Linked DNA regions of Arabidopsis thaliana. The protein of the gene in region 1 interacts with the protein of each later gene in a pairwise test. Each region holds a gene or a part of one and is shown in the gene's direction. Other genes may lie near its edges.

Region 1 (10,673 bases):
GGTTTGCAAGTTTTTTGAGCAGCCATTGCCTTGCAAGTCAATACATGGTGTAATAATTCGGCGTGGATATGAGTCAAACGAAGTGGCTTTGAGTTCTTTGATTGATGCGTATACAAGCTGCAGTCTTGTTGATGATGCAGGAACCGTGCTTGATTCGATGACGTACAAGGATGTGGTGTCATGTAGCACAATGATCTCTGGATTAGCCCATGCTGGCCGATCCGATGAAGCAATCTCAATCTTCTGTCACATGAGGGATACGCCCAATGCTATCACCGTCATAAGTCTTCTTAACGCATGCTCAGTTTCAGCGGACTTGAGAACTTCCAAATGGGCACATGGGATTGCTATCCGGAGAAGCTTAGCCATCAATGACATCTCAGTTGGTACCTCTATTGTTGACGCATACGCAAAATGTGGTGCCATAGAAATGGCGAGAAGGACTTTCGATCAAATCACTGAGAAAAACATCATCTCTTGGACCGTGATCATTTCAGCATATGCTATTAATGGTCTACCGGATAAAGCATTAGCATTGTTCGATGAAATGAAACAAAAAGGTTACACACCAAACGCTGTGACATATCTGGCAGCTTTATCAGCTTGTAATCATGGAGGATTGGTAAAGAAAGGTCTCATGATCTTCAAATCAATGGTAGAAGAAGATCACAAACCTTCATTGCAACATTACTCTTGCATTGTAGACATGCTTAGCCGAGCTGGAGAGATTGATACGGCTGTGGAACTTATCAAGAATCTTCCAGAAGATGTTAAAGCAGGGGCTAGTGCTTGGGGAGCGATTCTTAGCGGTTGCAGAAACCGTTTTAAAAAATTGATCATTACCTCAGAGGTAGTAGCTGAGGTTCTTGAACTCGAGCCCTTGTGTTCTTCAGGTTACTTGCTTGCGTCAAGCACATTTGCTGCAGAAAAATCATGGGAAGATGTAGCAATGATGAGGAGGTTGGTGAAGGAGAGAAAGGTTCGGGTCGTTGCGGGTTATAGCATGGTTCGTGAAGGAAACTTGGCAAAGAGGTTTTTGGCTGGAGACAAGTTAAGCCAGAGTGATTCTGAATTAAATGATGTCGTTCAGAGTCTTCATAGATGCATGAAGTTAGACGATACTGCAGGACCGATAAACTAAAGCCCTTTGGGCCTCAACGAAGCAGATAAATGATATTATTATACGATGCCGTATGTATTCTCGGATCCGGGTGAGAAAAGGAACGAACCGGGTTTTGTTTTTGACCCGACCCGGTCCCTTCGATCCGTTCTCTGAAGCAGAAGTCTTCTTGTTTTGTTCTCTTCGATCCATTTCGTCAAGCAATCTACCGAACCGACTCAGAGCTTTTGAGTCTTCTAAATCTCTATCGAATTTTTCTAGGGTTAGGGCTCCTGATCGATTTCGCGAGCTCTGCGATTATTTTAAGTATTAGGATCCGAAATTAGAAATGGGTGGAGAGGGAGATTCAAGTCAGCCGCAGAGTGGTGAAGGAGAAGCTGTGGCTGTGAACATCAGGTGCTCTAATGGCACGAAATTTAGTGTGAAGACGAGTCTCGATTCAACGGTGGAGTCTTTCAAAGAGTTGGTGGCTCAGAGCAGCGATGTTCCAGCTAATCAGCAGCGCTTGATTTACAAGGGTCGTATCCTCAAGGACGATCAAACTCTCCTCAGCTATGGTAATCTTCATCGTTTCTGATTTATTCGTGTGGGTACTTTTGTTGTTCTCGTAGATCCTTATTGATTGAAATTCTTGTGGATTCTATTCTCTGTGGAACATGTTATACCTAGGTTTGCAGGCTGATCACACCATTCATATGGTTAGAGGCTCTGCACCTTCTTCAGCACCACCTCCTGCTCCGGCCGCAAGCCAAACCACTGCACCTAGTGTTACTCGAGGGGTTGGTTCAGATAATAGCTCGAATCTAGGAGGAGCGAGTCCTGGGGAATCTTTGTTCCCTGGGCTTGGATTTAATCCTCTGGGTGGTGGAAATGCTATGTCTGGGTTATTTGGAGCTGGTCTTCCGGATCTTGTGCAGACACAGCAACAACTAGCTCAAAACCCTAACATGATTAGAGATATGATGAATACTCCAGCCATCCAGAACCTTATGAACAACCCAGAGTTTATGAGGAGTATGATTATGAATAACCCTCAAATGCGTGAGCTTGTAGATCGCAATCCTGAGCTTGGTCATGTGCTCAATGACCCAAGCATCCTTCGTCAAACTCTAGAAGCGGCAAGAAACCCAGAGCTTATGCGTGAAATGATGCGGAATACTGATAGGGCTATGAGTAATATTGAGTCTATGCCTGAGGGATTTAACATGCTTAGGCGTATGTATGAAAATGTCCAGGAACCGTTAATGAATGCTACCACTATGTCCGGGAATGCTGGAAACAATACAGGCTCCAATCCATTTGCTGCTCTGTTGGGAAACCAGGGGGTCACTACGCAAGGAAGTGATGCTTCTAATAATTCTTCGACACCAAATGCTGGAACGGGGACTATTCCGAATGCAAATCCACTTCCTAATCCTTGGGGTGCTACAGGTGGTAAGTAACTGCATTTTCATCTTCTAATCTCCTGTCGATTTTATTTGTCTTTTGAAGGATGCAGTAATATTTTATAAATGAAAAAGTGGCTTGTTTATAAGAAATGGACGTTACTGTTCACTGCTCTGCTTCAGGAACAATATTGTGTATAGTAAATTGGTGAGTTAGTGTAGTTACCACAATTTGTTGTTATGTGTAGTTTTTGCATATGATTTTCTTGGCTTATTGTTTCTAATTTAACATTTACTCATAATACACTAAATATAATTGAACATATTGTGGGCTACTTGACAGGTCAGACAACTGCCCCTGGAAGGACAAATGTTGGTGGGGATGCGAGGAGCCCTGGACTTGGTGGCCTTGGTGGTCTTGGAAGCCTTGGAGGCCTTGGTGGACTCGGTATGCTTGGAGCGGATTCACCTCTTGGTGCGACTCCAGATGCTTCTCAATTGAGCCAGTTATTGCAAAACCCAGCCATATCGCAGATGATGCAAAGCGTATTTTCCAATCCACAATACATGAATCAGGTAGGCCTAGAATGATCTGAACTTAAGAGCCTTTTACCATTGTGAACATATATTAATTGTTTTCCCTTGATTCCAGCTTATGAGTCTTAACCCACAACTCCGAAGCATGCTAGATTCGAATCCTCAGTTGAGGGAAATGATGCAGAACCCAGATTTCCTTCGTCAGTTTAGTTCTCCGGAGATGATGCAGGTTAGTTTGTCCCCTATTGTCTGTATGCATATGAATTTTTAACATGGTAGTCTCTCAAAAGAAACATTTCTTTGTATCTAAGCTATTTTCAAGTAAAGAAGTTTCTTTTCTTTTTTTTTTTTGGGACAAAGTAAAGAAGTTTCTTAAACCTAATGTTTTCTATTGTTTTTTGGTCTTCAGCAAATGATGACTCTACAGCAATCACTATCTCAGAATAGAAATACAGCCAGCCAGTAAGTTTTGTTAAAACCCTTCGTTGTTTGGATTTGCTTAAACAAAGTTGAGCATTTACATGTCCTTTACATATTGTTTTTTGGGTTGTTTAGTGTTTAGACAATGTTGTAACTAGCTAAAAAGATTGGTTGTGAACGATCTCTATAATAAGAAAAGGATTGAACCATGACTAATGCAGCAACTCTTGTATGATTTACTGGGCTGATCACTAGTAACATCTATCAAAGAGGCTATAAATAAAGCATTTTAATCGTTGGAATACACTTGAATAGGGCTCATAACATTTTGTTTGTTTTTGATTATGCCTTTTAGCATAAGCTATGTGTGTTAATCTCCATATTTTGATTTTCATCAATCCGCATTCATGTTCCCAAATCTATCTTCTCTGTAGGGATGCGGGGCAAACTGGTGCTGCCACAGGTACTCTTAAAGATATTATATGTATTTATTCTACAGTAGTATAAAGGGTTTAGTTATGTTACGTAGTATAGCAGCTACTCTTTAGTTCTCTTTGCTTTCATGTATGTTTTATTTTAGCAGATATTGTATCGTATACAAGTTAATAGTAGAATGACAATACTGATGGGGACAGGAAATAACGGGGGGCTGGATTTATTGATGAATATGTTTGGCAGTCTTGGTGCTGGCGGCCTGAGTGGCACGAACCAATCCAATGGTTAGAGACTACAAATTTTTTTTAGCTTACGCATCTGTTGTGATGGTTCCACTGAAACTTGTCTGTTTGATTCCAGTTCCTCCTGAAGAGCGGTACGCTACTCAATTGCAACAGTTGCAGGAAATGGGATTCTATGACAGAGCAGAGAACATTAGGGCGTTGCTTGCAACCAATGGTAACGTTAACGCTGCTGTAGAACGACTCTTGGGGAGTATCGGACAGTAGCATACAGGTTCATGAACTGATGTCTCTCCATCTGGCTTCTCAGTTATAGAATAAACAGCTTGAATGTGTGTTTTTCAGTAATGATATATTCATCGAATTCATAAAAATTTATATATGATAGGATCGTGAACTTTGTTGATAGAAAAGCCGCATCAATACGGTATTTGTTATCAGTGGTCACTCTTCGTCTTTAACTACCCTTAAACCTATATATCTTGGGTGTTTATCTTTGATAACTTATTTCAAGTTGTTACAACATACAACATCTGTAAATGTTTATAGACATCAAAGTGAAATTGAACCCATTAAATTTTTGGTTCCTTCTGATCCGGTTCAAAGGTTAAACCAAATTGCCCAAAGAGAGAAGTGGCATGTTGCAAAGGAATATCCAATTAGTTGATTCATCATCTTCAATTAGATTCAAGTTACAGCCAATTCCTTCCTGAACTATATACCAAATGCCTCAATTTAGACCCGACCCGGCCCAATCTTACCCAGTAAGAGTCGTCGATACGTTCTCTGAAGCGCAAGTCATTTCTGGATTCTCATTTAATTGGCCGTTCGGGGCCAAATAACTCTTTAATTTTCTGCAGTCTCATTTGTTATTCGACCAAAAATAATTTATATCCCTTTCCTCAAGAAATCTTCAGAACCGACTTATTAGAGCTTCGAGTCTCCTCAAATCTTCTTCTACGATTTTTTCTTCTAGGTTTAGAGCTTTTGATTCTCCGATCAATTTCGCGATTTGTTGAACTAGGATCTGAAATTAGAATGGGTGGTGAAGCAGATTCGAGGCAGCCGCTGACTGCTGAAGGCGTAGCTGTTGCCGTGAACGTCAGATGCTCCAATGGCACGAAATTTAGTGTGACGACGAGCCTCGATTCCACGGTGGAGTCTTTCAAAGAGTTAATTGCGCAGAACAGCGATGTGCCGGCAAATCAGCAGCGTTTGATTTACAAGGGACGTATCCTCAAAGACGATCAGACTCTCCTCAGCTATGGTAATTTTCTGATCATTTCGTGTTTCATTTCTGTTGTTCCGTTGCTTTAATTTGACTGAAAATCTCATAGGGTTTCTAGGGGGTTGGAACATTGGATTTATGTTAGGTTTTTACAGAAGCATGGATGATTTTATGAGTTTTGATGTATGCTTAATCCTTCTATGGGAAGAATAAGGAGATGTAGTTAGTGATACGATAATTGATTCATACCATTCTTAGAGTTCCTAATGTTCTCATGATCATGTATCTTCTTGGGATGTATATTTTCTCCATCAATGGCTGTTGTTGATATGATTGTGTTGGATAGTTTCCACGTTTTATTGTTTTGCATCATGAGCCTCAATGTTTCCTTTCTCTGTGGACCATTTTATATATAGGTTTGCAGGCTGATCACACCGTTCATATGGTTCGAGGTTTTGTGCCTTCTTCTCCTTCTGCTCCCGCTGCAAATGCTGGAAACCAAACCACTGCTCCTCAAGCGGTTGGTTCAAATGATAGCTCAAACCTCGGAGGAGGTGAATCTTTGTTCCCTGGCCTTGGATTTAATCCTTTGGGTGGTGGAAATGCTATGGCTGGATTATTTGGATCTGGTCTTCCTGATCTTGAGCAGGCACAGCAACAACTAGCTCAGAACCCTAACATGATTAGAGAGATGATGAATACTCCAGCCATCCAGAATCTTATGAACAACCCAGAATTTATGAGGAGTATGATTATGAATAACCCTCAAATGCGTGAGCTTGTAGATCGCAATCCTGAGCTTGGTCATGTGCTCAATGACCCAAGCATCCTTCGTCAAACTCTAGAAGCGGCGAGAAACCCAGAGCTTATGCGTGAAATGATGAGAAATACTGATAGGGCTATGAGTAATATTGAGTCTATGCCTGAGGGATTTAACATGCTTAGGCGTATGTATGAAAATGTCCAGGAACCGTTAATGAATGCTACCACTATGTCCGAGAATGCTGGAAACAATACGAGCTCTAATCCATTTGCTGCTCTTCTGGGAAACCAGGGGGTTACTACACAAGGAAGCGATACTTCTAATAATATTTCGGCACCGAATGCTGAAACGGGTACACCTAATGCAAATCCACTTCCTAATCCTTGGGGTGCCACGGCTGGTAAGAAACTGTATTCTCATCCTCTTAATTTCATATGGGATTTTACTTGTAGTTTAAGGTTGAAATATTAAATATAAAAGCAAGAGTGGCTTGTTTTTAAGAAGTGAAAGTTTATGTTTACCACACTGGTCAGGAATAGTATTGATTATAGTAATAATTGGTGAGTTCATGTTCTCACAGTTTGTTGTTATGACTAGTTTGTCTATGAATAAGTTTCTTGGCTGTTTGTTTCTAGTTTAACTGTTACTCGTAATGCACTAAAGATTTTAGAACATATTGTGGGGCTACTTGACAGGCCAGACAACTGCCCCTGGAAGGACAAATGCTGGACTTGGTGGTCTTGGTGGGCTTGGAGGCCTTGGTGGACTCGGTATGCTGGGAGCGGACTCACCTCTTGGTGCGACTCCAGATGCTTCTCAATTGAGCCAAATACTGCAAAACCCCGCTATGTCGCAGATGATGCAAAGCGTACTTTCCAATCCACAGTACATGAATCAGGTAGCGCCTTCAGTAATCTGAATTTTAGACATTGTAGCTATTGTGAGGCTGTCTTTAATATTTTAATATTTCCTTCATTTCCAGCTTATGAGTCTTAACCCACAACTCCGAAGCATGCTAGATATGAATCCTCAGTTGAGGGAAATGATGCAGAACCCTGATTTCCTTCGCCAGTTTAGCTCTCCCGAGATGATGCAGGTTAGTTGGGCCCATGTTGTCTCTCCAGATAATTATTTTTATATCATTCAGTAGTCAAATTTCTCCGACCTAATGTTTTCTATTGTTTTTTGGTCTTTTTAGCAAATGATGTCTCTACAACAATCACTTTTCTCTCAGAATAGGAACACGGCTGGCCAGTAAGTTTGGATACCCTTTTCTGTTTTCTTTAGTTGGAACATTAGTTGAGTAGGTAATGTCCTTTATATATCATAATAGGATTTTGGGTTGATCTGTGTTTAGAAAATAGTGTCACTAGCTAACCAGGTAATTCTCTCGGTGGTGAACTATCTTATATTAAGTAATAAATGGGTTGAATCATTAGTAATGCAGCAACTCTTGTATGTTTTACTGGGCTGATCATTAGTGACCTTTATCAACGGCTGTAAAGTATTTTAGTCCTTGAAATAAACTTGAATAGGAGCATAAAAATTTTCGTTCTTTTTTGGTTCTTTCCTTTAACATTTGATATCAGTGATCTTGATTTCCATCAACCTCTATTCATGTTCCCAATCCATCTTCTTTGTAGGGATCCTACGCAAACTGGTGCTGCGACAGGTACTATATTATCTGTAATTGAAGTATGAAGGCTTCAACTAGTTCACTTAGACAGTGTGCTTTTTTTTGTTCTTTTGCTTTACTTTAATCGTATATTCATTACGTTGCTTATTGAGTAAATCACTACTATGGAAATATTTATAGGGACAGCCAATAACGGAGGACTAGATTTATTGATGAATATGTTTGGCAGCCTTGGTGCTGGCGGCCTAAGTGGCACAAACCAACCCAATGGTTAGATTCACTAGGGGCTATACTTTGATTTCTTATATATCTATTGAGATGGTTCCACTGAAACATGTCTATTTGATTCCAGTTCCTCCTGAAGAGCGATTTGCGACTCAGTTGCAACAGTTGCAAGAAATGGGATTCTACGACAGAGCAGAGAACATAAGGGCTTTGCTTGCAACCAATGGTAACGTTAACGCTGCTGTAGAACGACTCTTGGGGAGTATTGGCCAGTAACATACAGGTTCGTGAACTGATATCACTCCACTCTGGCTTCTCAATTATAGAATAAACAATGTGTTTTCTTTCAGTAATCTAATTTATGGAATTCGTATAACTACATTTATGATAGGATCGCGAACTTGTGGATAGAAAAGCCGCTCATCGATACACTATTTGTTTTCAATGGTCATCTTCTTTCCTCTTTACCCAATCCCCACAACCTTTTTTACATACTTTGGGTCGTCTGTTATCTTTCAGATTCTATTTGAAGTTGTTACCTCGTACATCTGTAGAAGTTGATTTCGAAATGTGGAATGGTTACATTTACGTTTTCTTATCTCCATTTTACTTATTAAATATAGCTGTAGTGACGTTGATAATTTGTGATTGAGCGTTAAGTTTTTCATTCGAATAACAAAGATAAATACAATAATAATTGAAAGAAAAACAAAACTTATGAGGAAAACAAAAAAAGAAATGTAAATCCGACAAAACAGGGAGAAGTAACTGCTAAGAAACCGTCGATGAAAACTAACTTGTTCTTCTTCTACTTAACCAACCATAACTCCCACTCTTCTACTTTTTTTTTTCCTCTCTTTTAGTTTTTCTGTCTTCTCTCTAGTAAGAGACTCAATAATAATGTCGAACACTTCAAACTCCGATCCCAATTCCGATATCCCATTTGCTTCCTCCAATGTAACTCTTCCTAGTTACAATCAAAACCCAAGAAGAAAACGTACTAAACTCACCAACAACGAAGTCGGTTCTTCTTCGTCTTCTCCAAGGCCTAAACCGGTCACGCAACCGGACCCTGATGCTTCACAAATCGCACGACCATGTACTGAATGTGGTAAACAATTCGGGTCACTGAAGGCACTCTTTGGACACATGAGATGTCACCCTGAACGTCAGTGGCGTGGCATCAACCCTCCTTCTAACTTCAAACGTAGGATCAACTCAAACGCTGCGTCATCATCCTCGAGTTGGGATCCATCTGAGGAAGAGCATAACATAGCCTCCTGTTTACTAATGATGGCTAATGGTGATGTCCCAACCCGTTCAAGTGAAGTTGAGGAACGGTTTGAGTGTGATGGTTGTAAGAAAGTGTTTGGGTCACATCAAGCGTTAGGCGGACATAGAGCAACACATAAAGACGTCAAAGGATGTTTCGCCAATAAAAACATAACCGAAGATCCTCCTCCTCCACCTCCTCAAGAGATCGTTGATCAAGATAAGGGCAAGAGTGTGAAGTTGGTCTCGGGGATGAATCATCGATGTAACATCTGTTCTAGAGTGTTCTCCAGTGGTCAAGCGTTAGGAGGTCACATGAGATGTCATTGGGAGAAAGATCAGGAAGAGAACCAAGTCAGGGGCATTGATCTTAATGTTCCTGCGGCGACATCTTCAGACACAACGTTAGGTTGTTCCTTGGATCTTAGGTTAGGACTTTGATATATGATAACTTAAGGTTTTATATATTTATTGGGTATTTGGTTCTTTCTCTTAATTAACAAAAAACTCTCTCTGTATATATGTGTGATACTTTGTATGATGAACGTATAGGATTGTGGTATTGTATTCTATATATAAGTTAATTAGTTTATGAAATGCAAATAGAGTTATTTACTAAATGTCCAATATTCAAGAAATTAGCTTTATGAAGTTTAAAACGTTGAATCTTTTTCCCTATGTAAAAAGTTTATATTGTTTGATCATACATGTATATGTATCATGCATGGATTATGGTGTTTCTTCACAGTGTCAGTACACTAAGTGAGAAAATCAAGATTCTTCTTCCCTAAAAATGTTGCTTCGAGAAGAGTTACTTTGTTGAAGCTATTAGCAGATTCAGGGTGGAAGTTGTTGTTGACTCGAAGATGATGCCACATCGTGCTGCTTTGTTACTTCATGCATTTCAGAAGATGAAATCTACAAGCAAAAAGATTTGGTTTTATAACATGAATGCGAAAAATCTTCAGGGATGAAATTATTGTAACAGTAAGCCTCCTTACTTCTTTTTTAGCCTGCAAGGCTTTAAGTGTTGCAACAAGCTTTTTAGTGATGCCATTCTCTATATAACCCTTCCACTGCAAACATTCAGAGGCGAGTTTTAAAACTATAGTAGCTTCTTCTGTAGAGAACTTTCCCTTCAGATTTGGATCCATGAGCTCAGTGACATCCTTTCCATTGATCATCTCAGGAGCCTAGAAACAGAGGATAAATAACCACTCAGTAAAATGTAACTTGTGTTGCAAGAAACCAAGGATTCCACAAAGTCAAGCTTGAACAGAATTACTTACATGGCTCGGAGAAATTTGCAATCCAGTTAGCAGATTCACAAGGATAGTACCAAATCTGTATGTCACATTCCCAGTCCTCACGTTCCCTACAATGAGAATATAAAACATTACATTCTGATAT
Region 2 (9,903 bases), on another chromosome or scaffold:
TCGAACTTGGCAAGTGTTTTTCGACCCTTTGCTATTTTGGAGTAATGATGTAAGAAGACCATATCATTGCCTAAATGATGATCTGAATGGACCTTCTTATGGTACAGTGGTGGATTTTTTAAGCGACAAGGGAGAACCAAAGATCACGAGGAGGTATGTACTAATGATGGTTTTGGTTTCTACAGTGAAACTCAGATTTTATCCTGGGTATGGTTCTTCTCCGTGTACTAATGATCAGCTATCTGTCTATTCAATACATGTAATGTAAAGGCTTCCGGTTTTTTGTTGAACCATATAGTGATGCTTGTTGATCTCATGTAAGTTTTCCATCTATTACGCAAGATCTGTTATATGTTAACATGGTTAAGATTACCAGCACCAGTTATGGGGTTGAATCCATTCTTTGTATATGGAACATTGTTTCACTTAGATTGCTAAAGTTGTAGGAAGAGAAGAGTATGCGTTAGCATATAAATCAAATTGATCAAAAATGTTTAAACTGTTGTGATGTGAATATCAGAAGATAGCAAATCAAAATGCATTTATAACCCTGTTGATTTTACCAAAACGAAGCATTGGATGATGTGTGTGAAATGTCAGAAGATAATCAAAGATTATAGGAGTATATTTTTATATTCCGTTGTTATGCAGCTGCTTGAGAAAGAAGAATTTGTGGAGGCGGTAGTATCGCAGACTCCACTTGATTTAGAAACCACCATACATCTTGGCTGAGTTATGTAAAGACTTGGCTGATAGTTTTACGAGGTTTTTAGAATAATCAAGTTTAGTTCTGCGAATTTAGGTGACTAGATATTTTCTTGTGATTGAGGAAGTAATAAACACTCATTTACTTGTCCCTTTGATTTGTTGATTGAACTTTAGCTCAACTTAAAAGTGGTTAGCTTTGCTGAATCTGCCCAGTTATATTATTGTTTCCAGTTGATTGGAATTGGTTCACTATAGATTATGTTTTGTTTTTGGTTTTTATAAGCTAAAGGTTTGTTCTTTTTCATGGAAAGAACAATCATGAGATGTCAACATGTTATTGATCTTTAGAATCGTTTCATTCAATGGTCAAGTCATTTTGTAAACGAATTTGTTTTTTTTTCTTTGTCTTTTTCGACTTGGTTTCTCTGTAAGATTCTTGTTCCTTGAAGTGATGAGGTTTCTATTAGATAAGAGTTGATTAGAATGATATAATGTGCTCATGGTGACTCTCATCCTTGCACGTCCCTGTGGTTTATGAAAAGCCATATTGCTTTCCTCTTTAGCCAAATTGCGTGTTAATATCCTTCCCGTTGCATTTGATTCTATATCTTGTTTCTGTTTGATTTTTATGCATCTGTCACCTCCATGATAGTTTCTCTTGGTTAATGGCTGAAACAAGTTTAGTTTTGGATAGAGAATCAAAGAGTCTCTTCTTGTTCGTTTGTATCTTTCCTCTTGCGGTATATGTTGAAGAACTTTAGGGAAACAAAGTGAATGAAAGCTAAGAGTTTTTTTTATGACCAAAGGCAAAACAAAAAGTGAAGAATATTCCTTTGGAAAGTTTTGAAAGGGAAATACATATAGGATATTAACTAGGCGAATGGAATTTTTTCACTCATACAGAGTCATTTTCTGTATATATAACTTAGTGATTGTGAGTTCTCATATTGCTTCTATGTAACACTCCTTGTAAAGCTAAATAGCCCTTTTGTGCTAAGTCTCTGATATCTATTGTTATCTTCTCAATACTGCACTTGTTCAATGACACTTGCTAGCGATTTTGGTTTTCCATCCGCTATATCTTCATCTTTTACAATTCTAGAAGAGAGATACCACAATAACTTTCCTAACACTTTGTGTGTTTCATCAGGACAGGAATCGATGAATAACAACCCCGTCCCCTGTCAGGTGTTTCCTCTGGTCTCTGGTGGTAGTTCTGGTGGGAATTTGTTTTCATCTTCTTCCGGATTCTGCAATGGTGTCTATGTTTCATCTTCCTCCCAGGCACGGCCATCTGTTTCTACCGTGCCAAGAGACAGAATTACTGTTGCTCACGTCTCTGGTGAAGGGCAGAGGCAGGAATGCCCTGTGGAAACACATTCCTTGCAATTGATCAATCAACCTCAAGAACAGAAAATTATGACTTGGTCTTCAGACCAGATTCGGGGCTTCTTCGATTTTCCTGTTCCAGATCCACAAGCAGCGAGCAGCAGAACTATGGTTTCATCCAAGGAAGTGCTTTCAAAATGCGAATGGCCAGACTGGGCGGATCAGTTGATCTCTGATGATAGTCTTGAACCAAATTGGTCGGAGCTTCTAGGTGATCCTAATGTACTCAATCTATATTCAAAGGTTCGTTTCTTTCAGCTAAATATGAATCTCTACGCTTATTTCAGCTAAATATGATTCTTCTATTAAGACTGACTCTGATAATGTCTTACAGATAGAAACACAGTCTTCTGATATAGCAAGGCAAGAGATCGTCTTTAGAAATCAGCATCAGGTGGATCCATCAATGGAGCCGTTTAATGCCAAAAGCCCACCAGCTAGTTCAATGACATCTAAGCAAAGAATGCGTTGGACACCAGAACTTCATGAAGCATTTGTCGAAGCTATCAATCAGCTCGGTGGTAGTGAACGTGCGTATGCCCTTTTTTTTTCCTTCTCATGCCTGCAAAATTTAGCTGAACAACTTATTATTATTCTCTTGGCTTATAATTTCAAACCACAGGAGCCACCCCTAAGGCTGTTTTGAAGCTCATCAATAGCCCTGGGTTGACCGTTTATCATGTCAAAAGCCATTTGCAGGTTACTATTCTCCATCTATGTTTTCGGTTTGTATGCTTACAGCTCATCTTAAACGTCTTTATATTATTGGCTTGTCCAGAAATACAGAACTGCAAGGTATAAACCAGAGCTTTCCAAAGATACAGGTACTTGAGGCATCTAAGGATTCAAACTGTCTTCTCAATATTTCACATAAGCTTATTATACTTTGGAAACATAATGGCATTTAAAAGACTCTTGTGTGATGAAACACGTCTTTATACATAATCAGCTTTTCTTCTTGGACAGAAGAACCTCTAGTAAAGAATTTGAAAACCATTGAAGATATCAAATCTCTTGACTTGAAGACGTAAGGAACATTTTACTTCTCTGTCAGAACAGACTAAGTATCACCTAGGATAATATTTCTTCATATCTAAGATTTTTTTTTTTTATTCTTCTTCAGGAGCATTGAAATCACTGAAGCTCTCCGGTTACAGATGAAAGTTCAAAAACAACTCCACGAGCAACTTGAGGTATAATAATTCAAACTGCCTAAAAGAAGCTTTTATAAAACAAAACAGTGTCCTTTCCTCTTCATTTGTCTGATTTCTTAGTTTTTGGTTTTAGCTGGTGATTTTGATCTTATATTGGTCTTAATACAATGCAGATCCAAAGATCACTGCAGTTACAAATCGAAGAACAAGGTCGGTATCTTCAGATGATGATTGAGAAACAACAGAAGATGCAAGAGAACAAAAAAGACTCTACTTCCTCATCATCAATGCCAGAAGCTGACCCTTCAGCTCCATCACCAAACCTTTCACAACCTTTCCTCCATAAAGCAACCAATTCAGAACCATCAATAACTCAGAAACTGCAGAATGGTTCTAGCACAATGGATCAAAGTGAATCTACTTCTGGGACTAGTAATAGAAAACGGGTTAGAGAAGATTAGACATCTCATGAGTATGATCCAAAGATGTTGCAAACATATGTAATTGTGTATATAAAATTGAAAATATCACAGCAGCAAGAAAATGAAAATTTCTTCTTAATGGAGATGACGTGGACAAATCACTGTCGAGTTGGAATGTTGTCGGCTGATGAGTCAGCAATTTAGATGACGTGGCTAAAGAACATCCTTATTTATGACGTAATTAATAATGATCTCTCGAAATGCGTCTTTTCTTCGTCTGTTCTATCTTCTTTACCAATTTCTGCAATTCTGGAGAAGCTAAAGGTCTCAATCTCTCAGTCAAAAACAAAAGGTCTCTCCTTTATTAAACTATCTATCACTAACTAGAAGAAGAGATTAGAGGAGGAGGAAGAAGATGTTGTTTCAGGTGGGAGGTGAAGGCACACGCCCCACCTTCTTTGAGATGGCTGCTGCTCAGCAACTTCCTGCTAGCCTTCGCGCCGCTCTCACCTATTCCCTCGGCGTATAATGCCCTTCTCTACCTACGTCTCTTTTCGATTTTGAAATTTGGTACTTATCTGTATGATTCTTATATTTGTTTGCTGTTTCGTGATTTTTTAGGTTTTTGCTTTGAGACGATCGTTTCTCCATAAGATTTTAGACTATGAGGATGAATTCTTTGCTGCTCTGATGCTTATTCTTGAAGGACACAGCTTACGAACCACAGGTAGCTTCTGGATTCTGTTTTAGGTTTTGTGTGAGAGTGTACTGGAACTTTTTTGCTTATAACAGTTAGAGGTTTGTGAATTGTTTCAGATGGTTCCTTTGCTGAATCATTGTATGGTTTAAGGAGGAAATCAGCGAGATTGAGATTGAGGAAAGACAGTGCCAGGAAGGATTCTAGCGAAGAAGTTCAACATTCTGGTTTAGAGAAGCGTCAGAGAATCCTTTCTGTTGTGTTTCTGGTACTGACTCTTTCCTAAATGCTATAACTTTGTAAATGCGTATATGTTGAAAGCATAAAGCTTATGCCTTTAAGCTTGGTTACTGCCTTTTTCTAGGTTGTGTTACCGTATTTCAAGTCAAAATTGCATGCTATATATAATAAAGAAAGAGAGGCTAGGCTCCGGGAAAGTTTATGGGGTGCAGAGGATCAAGGATTTGATGAAGCTGACTTCTTCACAGGGGATGATTCAATTGTTTCAAGAGAGCCTAGTGGGAATGAAGAGCTTTCTGTTCGAGTACAATTAGCTACCAAAATTAAAAAGTTTATAGCTGTCTGCTATCCTTGGATACATGCATCAAGTGAAGGTAATTGTGGATTTATGTGAGCATCGACATTTCGACTGCATAGTAGCTGATGATTCTTTAACATAATTACGAGCACTTCTTAGTTTACACTGATTAGCTTCGTGCGTAGACTTCTATCTCTGAGTTTCATTGGCATGGAGAATTTTATTTGATCTGTATCATTTATAATGAGCTTATATGGGATCCTCTGTGTAGGATTATCGTTCACTTACCAGCTCTTATATCTGCTGGACGCTACTGGATTTTATTCTCTTGGGCTACAAGCTCTTGGGATTCAAGTTTGTAGAGCTACAGGGCAAGAACTGGTATTAACTTCCTCCTTTCTGGTTGAAATTTCGTGTCACCATTATCTTACTATGCACCCCATAGAATTAGGGCGCTTTGGCTTTGTTGGATGGTATTATTTAAAATTCTACATACATCTTGCTGCAAGATGTTATACCATCATTGACTGACCCATAAAAACCTTTCAAAGTGGTAAATTTACATGTGTTATGTCTTAACACACTTTTTTTCTTCGTCTTTACCTTTTTTGATGCCAAGATAGATGGATACATCCTCAAGGATTTCAAAGATTCGGAATCATGAGCGTGAGAGACTTCGTGGTCCTCCATGGTTAAAAGTATGATTTCACTTTTCTTAAACTTCATGTAACCTAAGGAATGAGATAGGCTGATTCCTACTACTGCTTACACTTTAGTGATCCAACGTCTGACAGTATTGTTTTGAATATTGAATTAGACGGTGCAAGGGGCACTTCTTAGCTGCTCATATGCTGTGCTTGACTATGCCCAAACCGGTCTAATTGCAGCAGTTTTTATCTTCAAAGTAAGTATCCATAAATGTCCCAGTTTATGTTACTTCTCTTATTTCACTGTCTTAAAAGCTTCCAGCAGAAGTAGGTTCCTTTAGGAAATGAAGGTCCTAAGCTTAAATTACATTAGATTAGATTTTGTATGCTACAGCCACCGCTAAATCCATAAAGCTTATTGCTATACTTATGGCGTTTTTGACTCTCGGTAGATTTTTCATCGCATAATCATTTAGTTGAACCTAAACATCTAGCTCATTTTCGTGTGTTTTTGGTTTTGTAGATGATGGAATGGTGGTATCAATCCGCTGAAGAGAGATTATCAGCTCCAACAGTGTACCCTCCACCTCCACCTCCTCCAGCCCCAAAGGTAATCAATCAGGTAGCATTATCTGAAACTTATGTAAACATCACTCAGTCGACTTTGTCAAAGTTTTTGTTTTTCTGTAACAGATGGCCAAAGAAGGAATCCCTCTACCTCCAGACAGATCCCTCTGTGCTTTATGCTTGCAAAAACGTGCAAATCCATCAGTTGTCACTGTCTCTGGATTTGTTTTCTGCTATTCTTGCGTATTTAAGTATGTTTCAAAGGTGAGTTCTCCAAATCATTACTCTCTATTCCCAAACCCCAACCTTGGTATTAGCTTATATCCGTCTTCTATGGTAATCACACAGTACAAGCGATGTCCGGTGACATTGATTCCAGCCAGCGTTGATCAGATTAGGAGGTTGTTTCAGGACACTTAGGACCAGTCTATTTAATGGTTTTAAGCCAACAGTGAGAGTTCCATCATCGTTCTCCCATGCAAGTTAGAGTCTGAACCAGAAGAGCTAAAAGACTGCCAAGTGAGACACTAATACCCCAATTGATTTTATATATATATATGGATAAGCTTTCATTTAGAGCTCACCAAGTCTGGGATCAAGTGCTTCTTGGATTGAAAGAAAGCTGTGTTAATCCTAATCAAAGCTGATTCTGATTAAAACAGAGAAGGCAGACAAATGGTTACTTTTTTCTTTCTTAGTTTCAGCTTCGAAATTGTTGTCTATTGCACAATGGGGGATGATATTATTGTTCAGGATGGAAAAATAAAATTTATATACTGATCAAATTTATAAAGAAAAGGATGGAAGAGATGATTGGAGTTCAAACTTTCATAGCTCATTATTGAATTAGCTTTGCACTTTTGCTCCTGAACCGAAAAAGTTTTCTGATTAATGTCAAAAATTTCAAAGTCGATTCAGAAATGGTTTAGGAATGCTGGGGGAGTAAGAGGAGTCAAAATCGAACCGAATAGAAAAAAAGGATTAATCATTAAGAGAGAACAAAGATGTTTGTTAAAGGAATTTCAGAAATAACATGACATACAAGAGCAATAAACAACACTACCAAAAGCCTTTTCTCAAGGCCACAATGATGGCTCAAAAAGTGAACATCTTTGAATCCAGCCAAAGCAAAACCTGAATGCAATGATTCAGTTACTCCGGACTCATCATTCTTCGGCTACATGATTTGAACGGGTACCCGAGTCACTAGCACCAGCGGCTTTTGTAGCCGCTTGTTTCTTCCTCCTGCTCTTAGCTTTCTTAGCTTTCATTCGACGTTTCTTCTCAGCTGAATCGATCCATTTGTAATCTGAAGGTATCAAGAAAGGGTCAGCCTCGTCTTTGTAACGGTTACTATCATTGTCACTTGATTTGCCACTTCTCATCCATGAGATCCATGATGGTGATGAGTTCTCTGAAGAAGACGACTTTGCATCATGAAATACCGGACTAGAAGGAGGTGTTGAGAACTCCTCCTCAGCTGCCTGAAGTTCTTCAAATTTGGTGAAAGTAACAACAACTCGAACCGTAGGAATAATGGGAATGGCGAGCTGCACATAAATTACCGATAAGAATAAACCCTAGAGAGTGATTCAATCATATCAGTAACATACAATTTACGAATTGAAAAAGATTTATACCTTTACAGGGAATGTGCCTAGCGGAAGTTTAGTTGTGAGAAGCTCTCTGAGTCTCCTAACGGCTTTAACCTTGTTAGCTAATATGTCAAGGAGCGGTAAAAGCTCGTCTGTCGTAAGAGGAAAGTCCGGTGTTAACCACAAGACCGGTCTTAGTCCTTTCTTGTATTCACTCTCACGCTTAACCTCATCTCCGGCAACACCTTTCTTCTTCTTCTTCTTCTCCTTTCCTTTCTTTGCGTCTCCATGATCCTCATTTGCATGATCAGATACCATCGAAGATTTCTGGCTTTTCCCTTTCTGGTTCCCGTCTTCTGGCGCAGACTTTGAGCCTTTCTTGAGCTTTGTATCTTCAGTGTTTGAGCCTTTCTTATTCCAACCAAACCAGCCCTTCTTATCCTTGAGAGCTCCGTTTTCCTGTTGATCAGTAACTTCACACTCTTCATCTTCAATGGCATCGGAATTTCCAGTCTGAAGCGCGGAATTCAATTGGAGTCTTTCCTCAGGTGTTAGTACGTCTTCAAAGCCGTCGGTCTCTGCACCATTTGTTACAGCAGTTCGCTCTTCATCAACCGCAAAGAGCTCTTCATCAGTCATTGCACCGGGAACCCGTCTAGATTTGACACTCACCATCACATGAAGCATATCGTAAACTTTTGCTTTCCAATTCCCAACCATCTCGGTTCTCTCTTGCCGTCTCCAATTCAAATGAGAAACCAGCTCAGCTTGAGTTACATCGATTCCAGGTCTATACATATTAGTCTGAGACATCAAAGCCACTTCATGAGCAACCTCAGCATCTGTTGGTTGCGCACCAGCTCCTTCCAAAGCATTTGTCATTTCTTTTTCCTTATGCGAAAGAACAATCAACGAGCCCGGAGATAGGGACATTTTACCATCTTCAGACGAGTAACCATCCCCTAGAAAGAGAAATGTTTGATCTGACCGTTGGATTTTAAACCCATCAAAACCAGCAAGAGTCATATCAGCACGGAGATTTGAACCACGTTTCCATATCCTGTAAGTATCGGAAGGAGCAATGCGGCCAATAAACGGAATGACCGAGCTCTCAAAATGAAAAGTGATCTCCATGTAAAAATCACGGATCCGAGATGCTGACGCAATGATCCGAGGAAGTCTCCTACACCATTTAGCCCAAGCAAGAGGCTGGTAATGCCGAGCAATTATCATGGCGATGGCCTCTTCTCTTGTGCAAACCGCTTCTTGTAACGCACTCCAACCATTCTCGTTCTGTAGACTCCAATCGGCACCAGCAGACATCAAAATCTCAGCAGAGACAGGATCTCTAAGACGAACAGCGAGATGCAATGGAGTTTCACGACCAGGAACATCACGGCGATCAATGACAGCTGAAACAGAATCAGCACGAGACTCAGACTCCATAGACTCAGCCTCAGTAGTAACTTCACCAGCCTTAGCTAACCGAGGAAGATCCGAAACAATTCGCCTAAGAGCAGCATGATCCCGAAGCACAACAGCTAAATGAGCAGGACTATGAGTATACTTGGAGTAATCTTCCATTGTTTATCCACAACACTCACTAAGCTCCAAAACAAAAAAGCTTTTCTGCTTTACTTCTCTCCAACCCTAATAGAAAAGGAATCAGATTCTTCCAGGAATCACAAACAAAACCCTAGAAACTCACCATATGAGCTCAAATTTGAATCCAATTCAAGAAAGCTTCCTCCTTTCTCCTCCTCAGAACATAAAGAAAAAACCCAAATTCCAATACACAAAAAGTAACAACCTTCACAACAAGCACAAGCTGTTCATCAAAAAAGTTGGAGCCTTTACAAAGAAAACACACGCCTTTTTCACTTTCGCTTTATCAAATTTTCGATTTCCTTGTGAGGAACAGAAAACTACCAGTGGAAGATCCGTTAAGCCGCTGGAGTTTTCTCACCAACCCGACCCGGAAACCTCAAAAGACAGAGAGAGGGGTACGAAGGAAGGAGCAATGGGGAAGAAGAAAGAGAGAGAATCGATCGGTGAACAATGAATGTTTGTAGCGATTGAGAAGATCTAACGGCTAGGTTCCTTTCTTCCACTTACGCCATTATTAATGCCACCACCACTACTCTCAGATCTATCTCTCTCTCTCTCTCTCTCTGCGAATTTTCTGG
Region 3 (9,584 bases), on another chromosome or scaffold:
CGTTGAATTCCGGATATATAGATTTAAGTTTGTGACTCCTCAAATTTCTCTTCTCTCAGTTGTTGTAGTATTAGTTATAACACTATCACATCTCAAAAATCTAATTAACCTATCGTCCACGTACATACAAATATTAATTGATGTTATAAGGAGGAGAATGTGAAACATATGAGAAAGTAAATACAAATATCATTCAAATCGGGTTCTTTGGCATTTGCGTCTTAATAAGCAGAGAACATGAGGCACGCTGATTGTACCTGCTCATGTACATAGAGATAGACAAGTCCCCCAATAGAGATGTTTATTTTTCCATCCCATTTTTTAAATTACATATAAATAAATATATAAGAAAGGAATGAGCTAGGCTTGATTCACAACTTTCGTCTTTTTTTGTTATAAAAGAAAGAAATACAAAGTCGTATAAAAAAAAGAGAGAGCGAAACAGGAGGAAGCAGCAACACGGAAAAGGTGGAGGAGAAAAAGAGAGTACTTGTTGTGGTATAAAGAATGAAGGAGTGAGTTTGTGTGTGAGTTTTATAAAAATAAAAAAGCAGGAGCATATCACACAAACAAACAACGTAGAAAGGGTTCGAATGACGAGTAATGGAGAAGGGGGAGAGGTGGTGGCGAAGAGGAGGAGGAAGGGAATTAAGGAGCTAGTGCAGGTGGCTCTCAGGGGAGGTTGTTTGGCTGCTTCAGCCACGGCCATGGCGGTGATGCTGACCGCTACTGAGGAGGGAGTGGCAGACATCTACGGCTTCAAGCTCACTCTCTCCTCCAACTGGTCTTTCTCTCCCTCCTACCAGTCAGTCTTCTTCTTCTTCGTCTTCTTCTTCTTACGAGCATTATAATTAGGGACAGACATAGCAATTAGAATTTTCTTTTTATCTGAATGCATATATATATATTATAATAAAAGAAAAGCAGCAAAACAGAATGTGTGTGTTCGGATGACAGATATTCCGGTGAACAGAAACACATCCGTGAACCAAACAACAACATGACATTATTGTGTGTCCTAGCTAGTTTTAAACTTTGTGATTATATATAGTGTATATTTCATTCATCTCACTAAGAAAGAGTTGTTTGGTGTTAAGGTATGTGGTGGGGGCATGCGCAGGGACCGTGCTCTACTCCCTGTTACAGCTCTGCCTCGGTGTTTACAGACTCGTCACCGGATCTCCCATCACGCCTTCCCGCTTCCAAGCTTGGCTTTGCTTCACCTCCGATCAGGTTCCTCGTCTCCTTTTCTCCATTCCCTTTTCTTCCGAATGTAACCCATTTGATTTACTGTGTGCACGCAGCTCTTTTGTTATTTGATGATGAGCGCTGGATCAGCCGGTTCCGGAGTTACCAACCTCAACAAAACCGGCATCAGGCACACTCCTCTCCCCGACTTCTGCAAGACCCTTTCTTCTTTCTGCAATCATGTCGCCCTGTCTCTCCTCTTAGTCTTCCTCTCCTTCATCTTCCTCGCTTCCTCTTCCTTCTTTACTGTCCTTGTGCTCTCCACTCCCTAGTCTCAATATTTTCGCTGCTTTATATAATCCAACAAAGACTCTACTTGCAATCCCAAAAACAATGTATTTCTCTTTTGAGTATTTCTCTGATGCAATACATTTAAGATGATGCGTTGTGATGAAATTACAATCATAATTTGGGTACAGAGACGTTGATCCCTAGATCTGAGAGATCCTTAGCGAGCGAATCTGCATTCTCAAAGCATAACCCACCCATCCCTATCTCTATAGCACACTTGACGTTGGTTGGCCTGCGTATCAGACACTCCTTCAGATCAAAATGGTTTCTTTCTTTTAAGTTATAAAGGCATTGAGTTCATGTTATAACCTGTCATCAATGAATATACAGTCGCAAGGTTCAACTCCGAGGTGTCCCACAACCTCGAGGTAGAACTCTGGATCAGGCTTTCTCTTCCCTGAAAGATATAACACATGAGGAGCTTTGTATGTAGTAGGAATGGTTTGGATCTGACAAGCAATAAGTAGTAAAAAGAGGCAAGAGATGTGTGATGTACCAGCAATACAGGAGCAAAACGTCCATGATAAGTAGGCAGAAAGCTTTAACTTGTCTTCGATAATGTTGTACCTATGGAAACACGACAAGAGTAAACAAAGAGACATGAAGCTCCGTTTCAAAGAGTGAAAGGCAAGGGATGGAAACCAGATGGGATAGTTAGTGAAAGCATGAATCTCGAAGTCGTCAGCTGCCAAAGTTTGAAGGAGCTCTTGCATGCCATCTAAGTAGGAGTAACCTGACCTCATGCACTCCTTAAGCCCTGCAATAAAGAGGATTGAAATAGGTACGAGGAAACCCTCTCTCTGTGTATTTACCTATCTATCTATATGGCAATCTCACCTTCCAAATCAAAATCCCTCCCATCTATAAAGAAGTTTCTAGCAAGCTCCTCCTAAAACCAAAAGTCAGAGGAGATAATATGAAGAAAAAAAGAAAGAAAGAGTGGTGGTACCTCACCTCATCAATCAAACCCTTTTCAAATTCGATCCAGACCATCGGGTGCTTGCACTCTAGTAGTTGCTTCATTGGCATTCTGATCCACAACCTCAGTTTATCATTGATGAATCGAGAAATAAATTCGAGGATTTCACTTTCTCACCCGAAGAAGGCCGGAACGTCCTGGTAAAAGGGGTCACGGACGATGGTGTCCATGACGTCGAAGAGGAGAATCGGAAGCTTCCTTTTCCGAGAGATTTCATCACCACTGCTGCTGCCCAGACAGCAAGAACCCGAGGCCCGAACAGGATTCTTCTTCCACATGTTGGGTTTCAGATTGATGAATTCCGCCGATGTGTGCATCGCCGCCGCCGCCATCAGAAACTACCTAGTTTCTAGTTCCGATCATCATCATTTGTAAATGACAACAGGGGAGTCGAAACGCAGCGTTTAGAGAGAAAATCGCAGAGGAGAAGGTGATTGGTCCACGTCAGTAATTAGGATGACGTGGTGAAGAAGAAGTGGCCCATGACTTGCAGCACGAAGGAGAATGAATGAATTAAATAAAAACCGTTTCAAATTCATCTCCACGACTCCTCGGCCTCGGAGAGCTCAACCGCCACTTTCCTTCTCCTTGTTTATATAAAGCAGAGCCAGCCACCTTCATTTTTACACACAACCATCAAAGCTACGTACGAATTCCTCTCAAACATACTATATACTTACAAAAGAACAAGAAGATGATGATGATGATGATGAGATCTACTTGTAATCTAACACTAATGCTCTGCATTTGTGCCCTTGTGGTGGCTTCCATGGCGGCGGAAGGTCCTAGGGATTTCAAGGTTGGAGACGAGTTCGGGTGGAGAGTCCCACTCCAGAATGATTCAGCGGTTTACAGCCACTGGGCCAGCAGCAACCGCTTCCACATCGGTGATTCACTCTGTGAGCTAGCTTGTTCCCAACTTGTGTTTTCTTTTTTTTATCATTCATGATCGGTAATAATTGATTGGTTTCTAATCAAAAATATGTCAGCGTTTGTGTACGACAAGGACTCGGTGATGGAGGTAGACAAATGGGGTTTCTACCACTGCAACGGCAGCGATCCCATTACAGCCTTTGACAATGGAAACAGCACATTCGACCTTGATCGTCCTGGTCTCTTCTACTTCATCAGCGGCTCCAACCAGCACTGCACCAGCGGCCAGCGTCTCATCGTAGAAGTCATGCATATCCACCAACACCATGACCATGACGCTTCCATGCCTCCATCCATGTCGCCTCTTTCTAATTCTGCCTCTCCCTACGCATCCGCATCCGCATCTTCTGCTGCCTCCTCCCTGCCTACGGCTTGTCTTCTTATTCCTCTTTTCTTAACCATTGCTAGCTTTCGTTTCATTTCTTATTAGTCAAATTGTTTCCCTTATAGTTCTTCTCCTCTTTTACTTTTCTTCATCTTTTTGTTTCATTCATCGAACCCTTATGGTATAATCCAATTTATGTTCTTCTCTGACATTTATTATAAGTTTTACTTTTCACTGTTCAAAACAAATCAATCAACAAACTGTGGAAAAAAAATAAAAAATCTATCAACAAACTACACAAGAGCATCGTTATTAATAGTTTCTTAAAACAATTCTTAAGTTAAGAGACAGTCTTATAATAGCTTATAATTAACAAAGTCTCATAAATAAGAGACTTTAATACAATTTTGTTAGATATAAGACATATCTCTTAACTAAGAGTAATGTTAAGAGATCATCAATAAGGATAATTTTATGTCGTTAGTACTAATAGAACCGGGCCCTAGAGTTTGTAACAGATATGGGCCTTTTTATTGCTATGGGCCTATTTTTGGTGATATGGGTCTTTAATACCATATGAGCCTTTTAAGACAAAATAATAATCTGATAAAAGTGGTGAATCAAGAAGACTAAACAATTTTGAAAGAAGAAGAAGAAAGGAGGAGACATGGATGAATCTCTGTGGGTGTGAGTGTGAGACAAAGAGAGAAAACAAACAACGTAGCTGTAGATTGGAAAAGACGGTAAGACCCTCGTCGGGCTTCATCAATAAACAACTTTGCCTTGTTGTCTATCGCCGGAATTACAAACCCTAGCCCTGCTACACCGCCAATGACGCCGTCTACGCCTGCAGACGATGCTTGGATCCGCTCTTACCAGCGCTTGCTTCCTGAATCGCAGTCTCTTCTCGCTTCCCGCCGGGTAGGTTCTGTCTCAGGGATGCTTGTTTGTGTCGTGGCTTGTTTGCTTATTATATGTGGTCTTTGATGGCAGTCAGTTATACCGGTTGCAATCTCTAGAGTGAATCAGTTCGACGCAGCACGACTAGATGTGGAAATGTCAGCCATGTTGAAGGAACAGCTCGTTAAGGTTTTCACTCTGATGAAGGTGAGCAGAGAGCTAACTTGATGCTTTCCTTGGCATTTTATTAAGCCATTTACTTTCTTTGGCATTTTATTAGCCAGGAATGCTCTTTCAATACGAACCAGAGCTTGATGCTTTCCTTGAGTTTCTCATTTGGAGATTCTCTATTTGGGTTGACAAACCCACCCCCGGAAACGCTCTCATGAATCTTAGATACAGAGATGAACGAGGAGTCGTTGCTCAGCACTTGGGGAAAGGTATTTTTTATTTTATTTTCTAAACACTCTTCTTCTGTCACCCTTTTTTTCTAATCACTCTTGTACTCTCGTATAGTCAGAACAGGACTGGAAGGACCCGGACTTACTTCTCCCCAAAAGATTTGGTACTGCGTTGCCTCCGTTGGTGGTCAGTACCTCTTCTCCCGTTTGCAGTCATTTTCTGCTTTCCGTAGATGGGGTGATTCTGAGCAGGTCTGTATGAGGAGCATGGTTTATTCTTTTTTTCTCCCGTTTGCAGTCATCCTCACGCCATCGCTATGGTTGATTCTTTTCTCCTTGTTTTGACTTGTAGAGACCATTGGCAAGGCGACTTTGGACCCTCGTACAACGAATCGAAGGCATCTACAAAGCTGCTTCTTTTCTTAACCTATTGTCATTTCTTTATACGGGAAGGTACAACTTGGTACATGGACTCTTTCATTTCCTCTACTTATCCTGATAAAACCACACTGCAGTGCAGTTACTTCTTATGACCATTTAAAATCTGATTCAGTTCATTGGTAACTTTTGAGTTCACAGTGAAATATCGAAACAAGAACCAAAATCACAAACAGAAATACCTTGATGATTCTCACTTCCGCTACTCTTCTTTTTCTTTCTTGATCCAGGTATAGGAACCTCATTGAAAAAGCTTTAAAAGCTAGGCTTGTCTATAGGAGTCCCCATATGAACCGATCTGTCAGCTTCGAGTACATGAATCGGCAACTTGTGTGGAATGAATTTTCGGTAGGTCTTCTCTGTGTGTTGCTTAACTAGTTCAACATCAATTTAAAAGTTTGGCAACCTGTCAGTTCTGAGTAGCATCCTTGGCTGATGGTTTCTGGCCTATGATTGATACTTGCTGGTCTCGAACATTTTCTTGAATGATAGTATCTATCAGCTTACCTTCACTTTTTCTTTGGAAGAAACACTTTTGCTGCTTGAACTTGAGCTGTTAAAAGCTGAAAACATATTGTGTCCGTATCTGGAATTCTGAACTATGTAGATCCTGTGACTCAACAGTTTCATTGGAGTACAAATACCTTGTCTATGTTCAAAACACTGTATTTGTCGCTTTTTCTCTCTTTCAGATCCTTCAATAGATCAAAACATTCTGTTTAGACTTGCTACCAGAAACGTAATGTTAGGATCTGATTTCCTGGTTCTGTTTTGGCATTCAGCTTTAAATTTGTTTGGTGATATTCAGGAAATGCTTTTGTTGCTTCTCCCGCTGCTCAACTCTTCAGCTGTTAAGAATATTCTTAGTCCATTTGCCAAGGACAAGTCCTCAAGCACTAAAGAGGATACAGTGACTTGCCCTATTTGCCAAGTGGATCCTGCAATTCCGTTTATAGCTCTGCCTTGTCAGCACAGGTATGGTATTTTTCTGTGCAAAAGTTTTGGATCAGAATAAAGTAGTTAACTCTCTCCCCAGACATGTACTATAACTGATTGTACTAGAAGCAAAAAATTTCACATGATTGTGTATCTGACTTTGGAGAAGACACAGAAGTGATTTTATTGACTTGTTGAATTCATAGTATGTGCTGTAGTTGTTACATACATTTAAAAGAATTGACTTGTCGCAGGTACTGTTACTACTGCATAAGGACCCGCTGCGCTTCAGCAGCATCGTTCCGGTGTCTTAGATGTAACGAGCCTGTGGTTGCCATACAACGGGAAGGTGTTTCAAGTGGCAAATGAATGGAGGTGACAAATTGTTGAGTCATGCCACCAAGTCTTGAAGAATAAGCAGATGCAATAGTGGAAGTGTAAAAAGCCAAGGCAAGCAGCCGAAAGCAGAGAAGAATCTGATAGGTGTTTGTTTGCAGACAGACTATACAATAAGGGAACATCATGAATGTGATGCAACAAAAAAATTAGATAGGTGCACTTCTGTACATGAGTTGAGAACCTACCATTGTTGAATGAAGTTTGGTCTTATGTTTATTACAAAATCAGTTGAAACGTTGGCTATACTCGAATGAATAATATCCATTTCCTTACATGTTGTTTACCTACTTACTACTCACTCCTACTTCCATATTAGGTACACGTTACTTGTGTCTCTCCAAGGAAAAAAAGAGAGCCAGAAGAATAATACGAATTCTCAGAATAAAGAGATCAATCACTGGGTGGAAGAGAGCAGACTGATTTCTATCTCTTGTAGGCTCTTTCCTTTAGTCTCAACCACGTTCTTCTGCACAAAGATGACTGCCACCACACAGAAGAACCCAAATATTGCATTTAGAAGCACCGAACCTAGTTGCTCCAGCATTCTCAGAAACAGCAGCCCGACAAAGAAGTTTATAACCTGTTGTAGCGTGTAATTCTCCAAGCTTATTATTATTTCAACATTATCGATTTCCTAAAAAAGTCCACAAAGAGAAAAAAAAAAAAAAAAAAAGGCATACCCAGTGAACGGCAAGACAAACAGCCAACGCAGTTGCTCGAAGTCGACCAGGGCATATCTCAGACAGGAGAAGACTTGGAACAGGACCCGCTCCAGTTGCAAACGACAACACAAACCTGCATTCGTAATCACACCCCTAGTTTATCAAAATAAAACATCCCCCTTTTCCAGTGCTGTTGTTGTGATAGAAAACTTACAGCAGCATTCCTCCAACCGAGAGAAACAAGGTTCCAAAGGGCGAAGGAAGCGAAGTATATGCTATTGCTTGGAGACCCAGCGATACTGCCTGTTAAAGATGATAAACATTTACATCTACATACATGGAGCGTTATTAAATATTAGCTGCGTAAAGTTTGATTCAAATAGCACTTTTTGCCTCAACAATTACCATGCCCGCAAAACTCCCAATAAGCAACACTTTTCTCCCCAGCTTATCCATCAAAACCACAGCAACAGTTGATCCTGTACAAGAGTATGAATGATGCTCACATTCGTTTTAAATACAGATCATCAACATGTTGAAAGGAAAGATTTCAGATCATCATCTTTGTGGTAAGAGGAAGGTTGTTCACTTAAACCAGTGATTAGTTTACTGTTCCTAATGTTGTGTTTGTATTCAGGAAGACTGCATTCACCTACTTGCTTATCTAGCTTATCATGAATATGATGGCCTTTCAAGCCATAGTAGAATGTACAAGAAAAAGTCACATTTCAATACCTAAGAGGTTGCAAACTCCTACACATATGTTTGCAGAGGCTGAAGGTACACCAGCTTTCTTGAAGACAGTTGATGAGAAATAGAACACAGCATTTATCCCAGACAACTGTTGTAAAGCAAAAAGGGTAGATCCAATGAAAACCACTGCAATCGGAGAAAATTTAAACGTAAAAATGAAGGTAATTAAGAGGCTACACATCATCTATATGTATGTTTTTGGCAAATGAAAATGTCATTTTTTTGGCTATGGATCCAGTTTAGCCACCTAACATACCTTCCGTGCAAATGATTCAACTTTTTGATGAATAAAAATCTAGATCTAATATTTCCGTGATATTTGACATCGAACTAATGCCACACATTTTCACCAATCTTGTTGGTTAAAGATCACACATACCTCTAAAACTGCGTCCAAAAAGCAACTCCGACAATTTGGCTGAATCGGCGTCATCTCCCCTATCCGACTTCACTAACTCTGCCATAGCAGCTTTGACGTACGACCCTCCCAATAGCTTCTCAAACACAGCTTCAGCTTCAGCTGCCCTTCCCCTCTACGGTTAAACAGAAAAAGAATCAACCAAAGAAATGGTTTATAAAAATCAAAACGTCTTTAAGAGCTATGCGGGTTAAAATTAGACAGTAACCTTAAAAAGCCACTGAGGACTTTCCACGCAGAGTTCCATGAAGACAGCAAGCATTGCAGCTGGGACTGTGGATATCCAAAAACATATGCGCCACCTACACCAATCAAGAAAGAGAAACCTATTCAACTAGTAATTCAGCCAAGTAGACCAAAGCATGTGATCTGCTAGTAGCTTAGAAACTCCAGGATTTCTTTCCCTACAAAGGCGGTTCTCATGTCAAAATCACTAATGAATTTGCAGCAAAAGATGAGGTGGTTCCTATAGAGTTGCAGCATTTTAACAAGGCACTAGAGATTCACATTGCATATAGGTGGGTTTGGAATAGACAACGGGGATCAAACATGCCACCTAAAGCAAGCAAAAAGGGTGAACTACCATGCGTTTGGAAGTCACAGATGGCACAGAGTTGCAATAATTTCAACCTCGAAGAGTTACAGGCCATATAAGCTGTTAAGTCATCTATTCCTTGAGTTCTTATCAACATCTTACCAGCCCAAGTTATCTTTTGCCGGGATTCCAGCAAACAGCGAACCTAAGAGTCCAATACATGTTGCGATTTGGGTAGAACTCCCATATGTACCTCTCACATAAGCAGGTGACACCTGCAAAGAGAAACTGTGAGTCTTGCTCTAAGTATGAATGTAAGATGTATTGACAAAGCGAGTTAGTGATATTTGTGTGCCCAGAACCTTC

Evidence for each region.
Region 2: the proteins of AT2G17190 (region 1) and PEX12 interact in a two-hybrid assay, tested with the Arabidopsis thaliana proteins (one study listed by BioGRID).
Region 3: the proteins of AT2G17190 (region 1) and TED3 interact in binary tests that used the Arabidopsis thaliana proteins (3 or more experiments, as listed by UniProt).

What each region holds. Positions count from the first base shown.
Region 1 is NC_003071.7:7,475,866-7,486,538, reverse strand, and holds AT2G17190 (ubiquitin family protein), read left to right. Parts: upstream 1-4,848; 5' UTR 4,849-5,177; coding exon 5,178-5,406; intron 5,407-5,783; coding exon 5,784-6,530; intron 6,531-6,825; coding exon 6,826-7,028; intron 7,029-7,112; coding exon 7,113-7,226; intron 7,227-7,328; coding exon 7,329-7,384; intron 7,385-7,773; coding exon 7,774-7,802; intron 7,803-7,946; coding exon 7,947-8,036; intron 8,037-8,118; coding exon 8,119-8,267; 3' UTR 8,268-8,274; intron 8,275-8,382; 3' UTR 8,383-8,694; downstream 8,695-10,673. Other genes in the region: AT2G17210 (Tetratricopeptide repeat (TPR)-like superfamily protein), read left to right, coding at 1-1,141; DSK2 (ubiquitin family protein), read left to right, coding at 1,449-1,677, 1,790-2,554, 2,849-3,081, 3,158-3,271, 3,452-3,504, 3,897-3,925, 4,098-4,181, 4,258-4,406; DAZ1 (C2H2-like zinc finger protein), read left to right, coding at 8,892-9,704; AT2G17170 (Protein kinase superfamily protein), read right to left, coding at 10,101-10,181, 10,265-10,456, 10,553-10,638. UniProt on the Arabidopsis thaliana protein: Binds and presumably selects ubiquitin-conjugates for destruction. Prefers multiubiquitin chains rather than single ubiquitins, with a binding affinity for 'Lys-48'-linked ubiquitin chains.
Region 2 is NC_003074.8:1,182,553-1,192,455, forward strand, and holds PEX12 (peroxin-12), read left to right. Parts: upstream 1-3,931; 5' UTR 3,932-4,088; coding exon 4,089-4,196; intron 4,197-4,294; coding exon 4,295-4,400; intron 4,401-4,489; coding exon 4,490-4,638; intron 4,639-4,734; coding exon 4,735-4,984; intron 4,985-5,179; coding exon 5,180-5,289; intron 5,290-5,531; coding exon 5,532-5,606; intron 5,607-5,725; coding exon 5,726-5,812; intron 5,813-6,078; coding exon 6,079-6,386; intron 6,387-6,470; coding exon 6,471-6,489; coding exon of another isoform or gene 6,490-6,542; 3' UTR 6,543-6,956; downstream 6,957-9,903. Other genes in the region: AT3G04450 (Homeodomain-like superfamily protein), read left to right, coding at 1,750-2,340, 2,432-2,627, 2,720-2,796, 2,876-2,921, 3,064-3,124, 3,221-3,290, 3,425-3,712; AT3G04470 (Ankyrin repeat family protein), read right to left, coding at 7,289-7,672, 7,763-9,301. UniProt on the Arabidopsis thaliana protein: Component of a retrotranslocation channel required for peroxisome organization by mediating export of the PEX5 receptor from peroxisomes to the cytosol, thereby promoting PEX5 recycling.
Region 3 is NC_003070.9:30,015,337-30,024,920, forward strand, and holds TED3 (Pex2/Pex12 N-terminal domain-containing protein / zinc finger (C3HC4-type RING finger) family protein), read left to right. Parts: upstream 1-4,407; 5' UTR 4,408-4,607; coding exon 4,608-4,697; exon of another isoform or gene 4,698-4,701; intron 4,702-4,769; coding exon 4,770-4,883; intron 4,884-4,956; coding exon 4,957-5,116; intron 5,117-5,192; coding exon 5,193-5,329; intron 5,330-5,429; coding exon 5,430-5,530; intron 5,531-5,745; coding exon 5,746-5,863; exon of another isoform or gene 5,864-6,323; coding exon 6,324-6,490; intron 6,491-6,705; coding exon 6,706-6,820; 3' UTR 6,821-7,150; downstream 7,151-9,584. Other genes in the region: AT1G79780 (Uncharacterized protein family (UPF0497)), read left to right, coding at 594-805, 1,098-1,233, 1,305-1,520; FHY1 (Haloacid dehalogenase-like hydrolase (HAD) superfamily protein), read right to left, coding at 1,651-1,771, 1,849-1,936, 2,036-2,296, 2,377-2,428, 2,494-2,569, 2,636-2,850; ENODL7 (early nodulin-like protein 7), read left to right, coding at 3,213-3,417, 3,508-3,881; SGB1 (Major facilitator superfamily protein), read right to left, coding at 7,245-7,430, 7,531-7,645, 7,727-7,815, 7,918-7,991, 8,248-8,391, 8,645-8,798, 8,892-8,985, 9,381-9,493. UniProt on the Arabidopsis thaliana protein: E3 ubiquitin-protein ligase component of a retrotranslocation channel required for peroxisome organization by mediating export of the PEX5 receptor from peroxisomes to the cytosol, thereby promoting PEX5 recycling.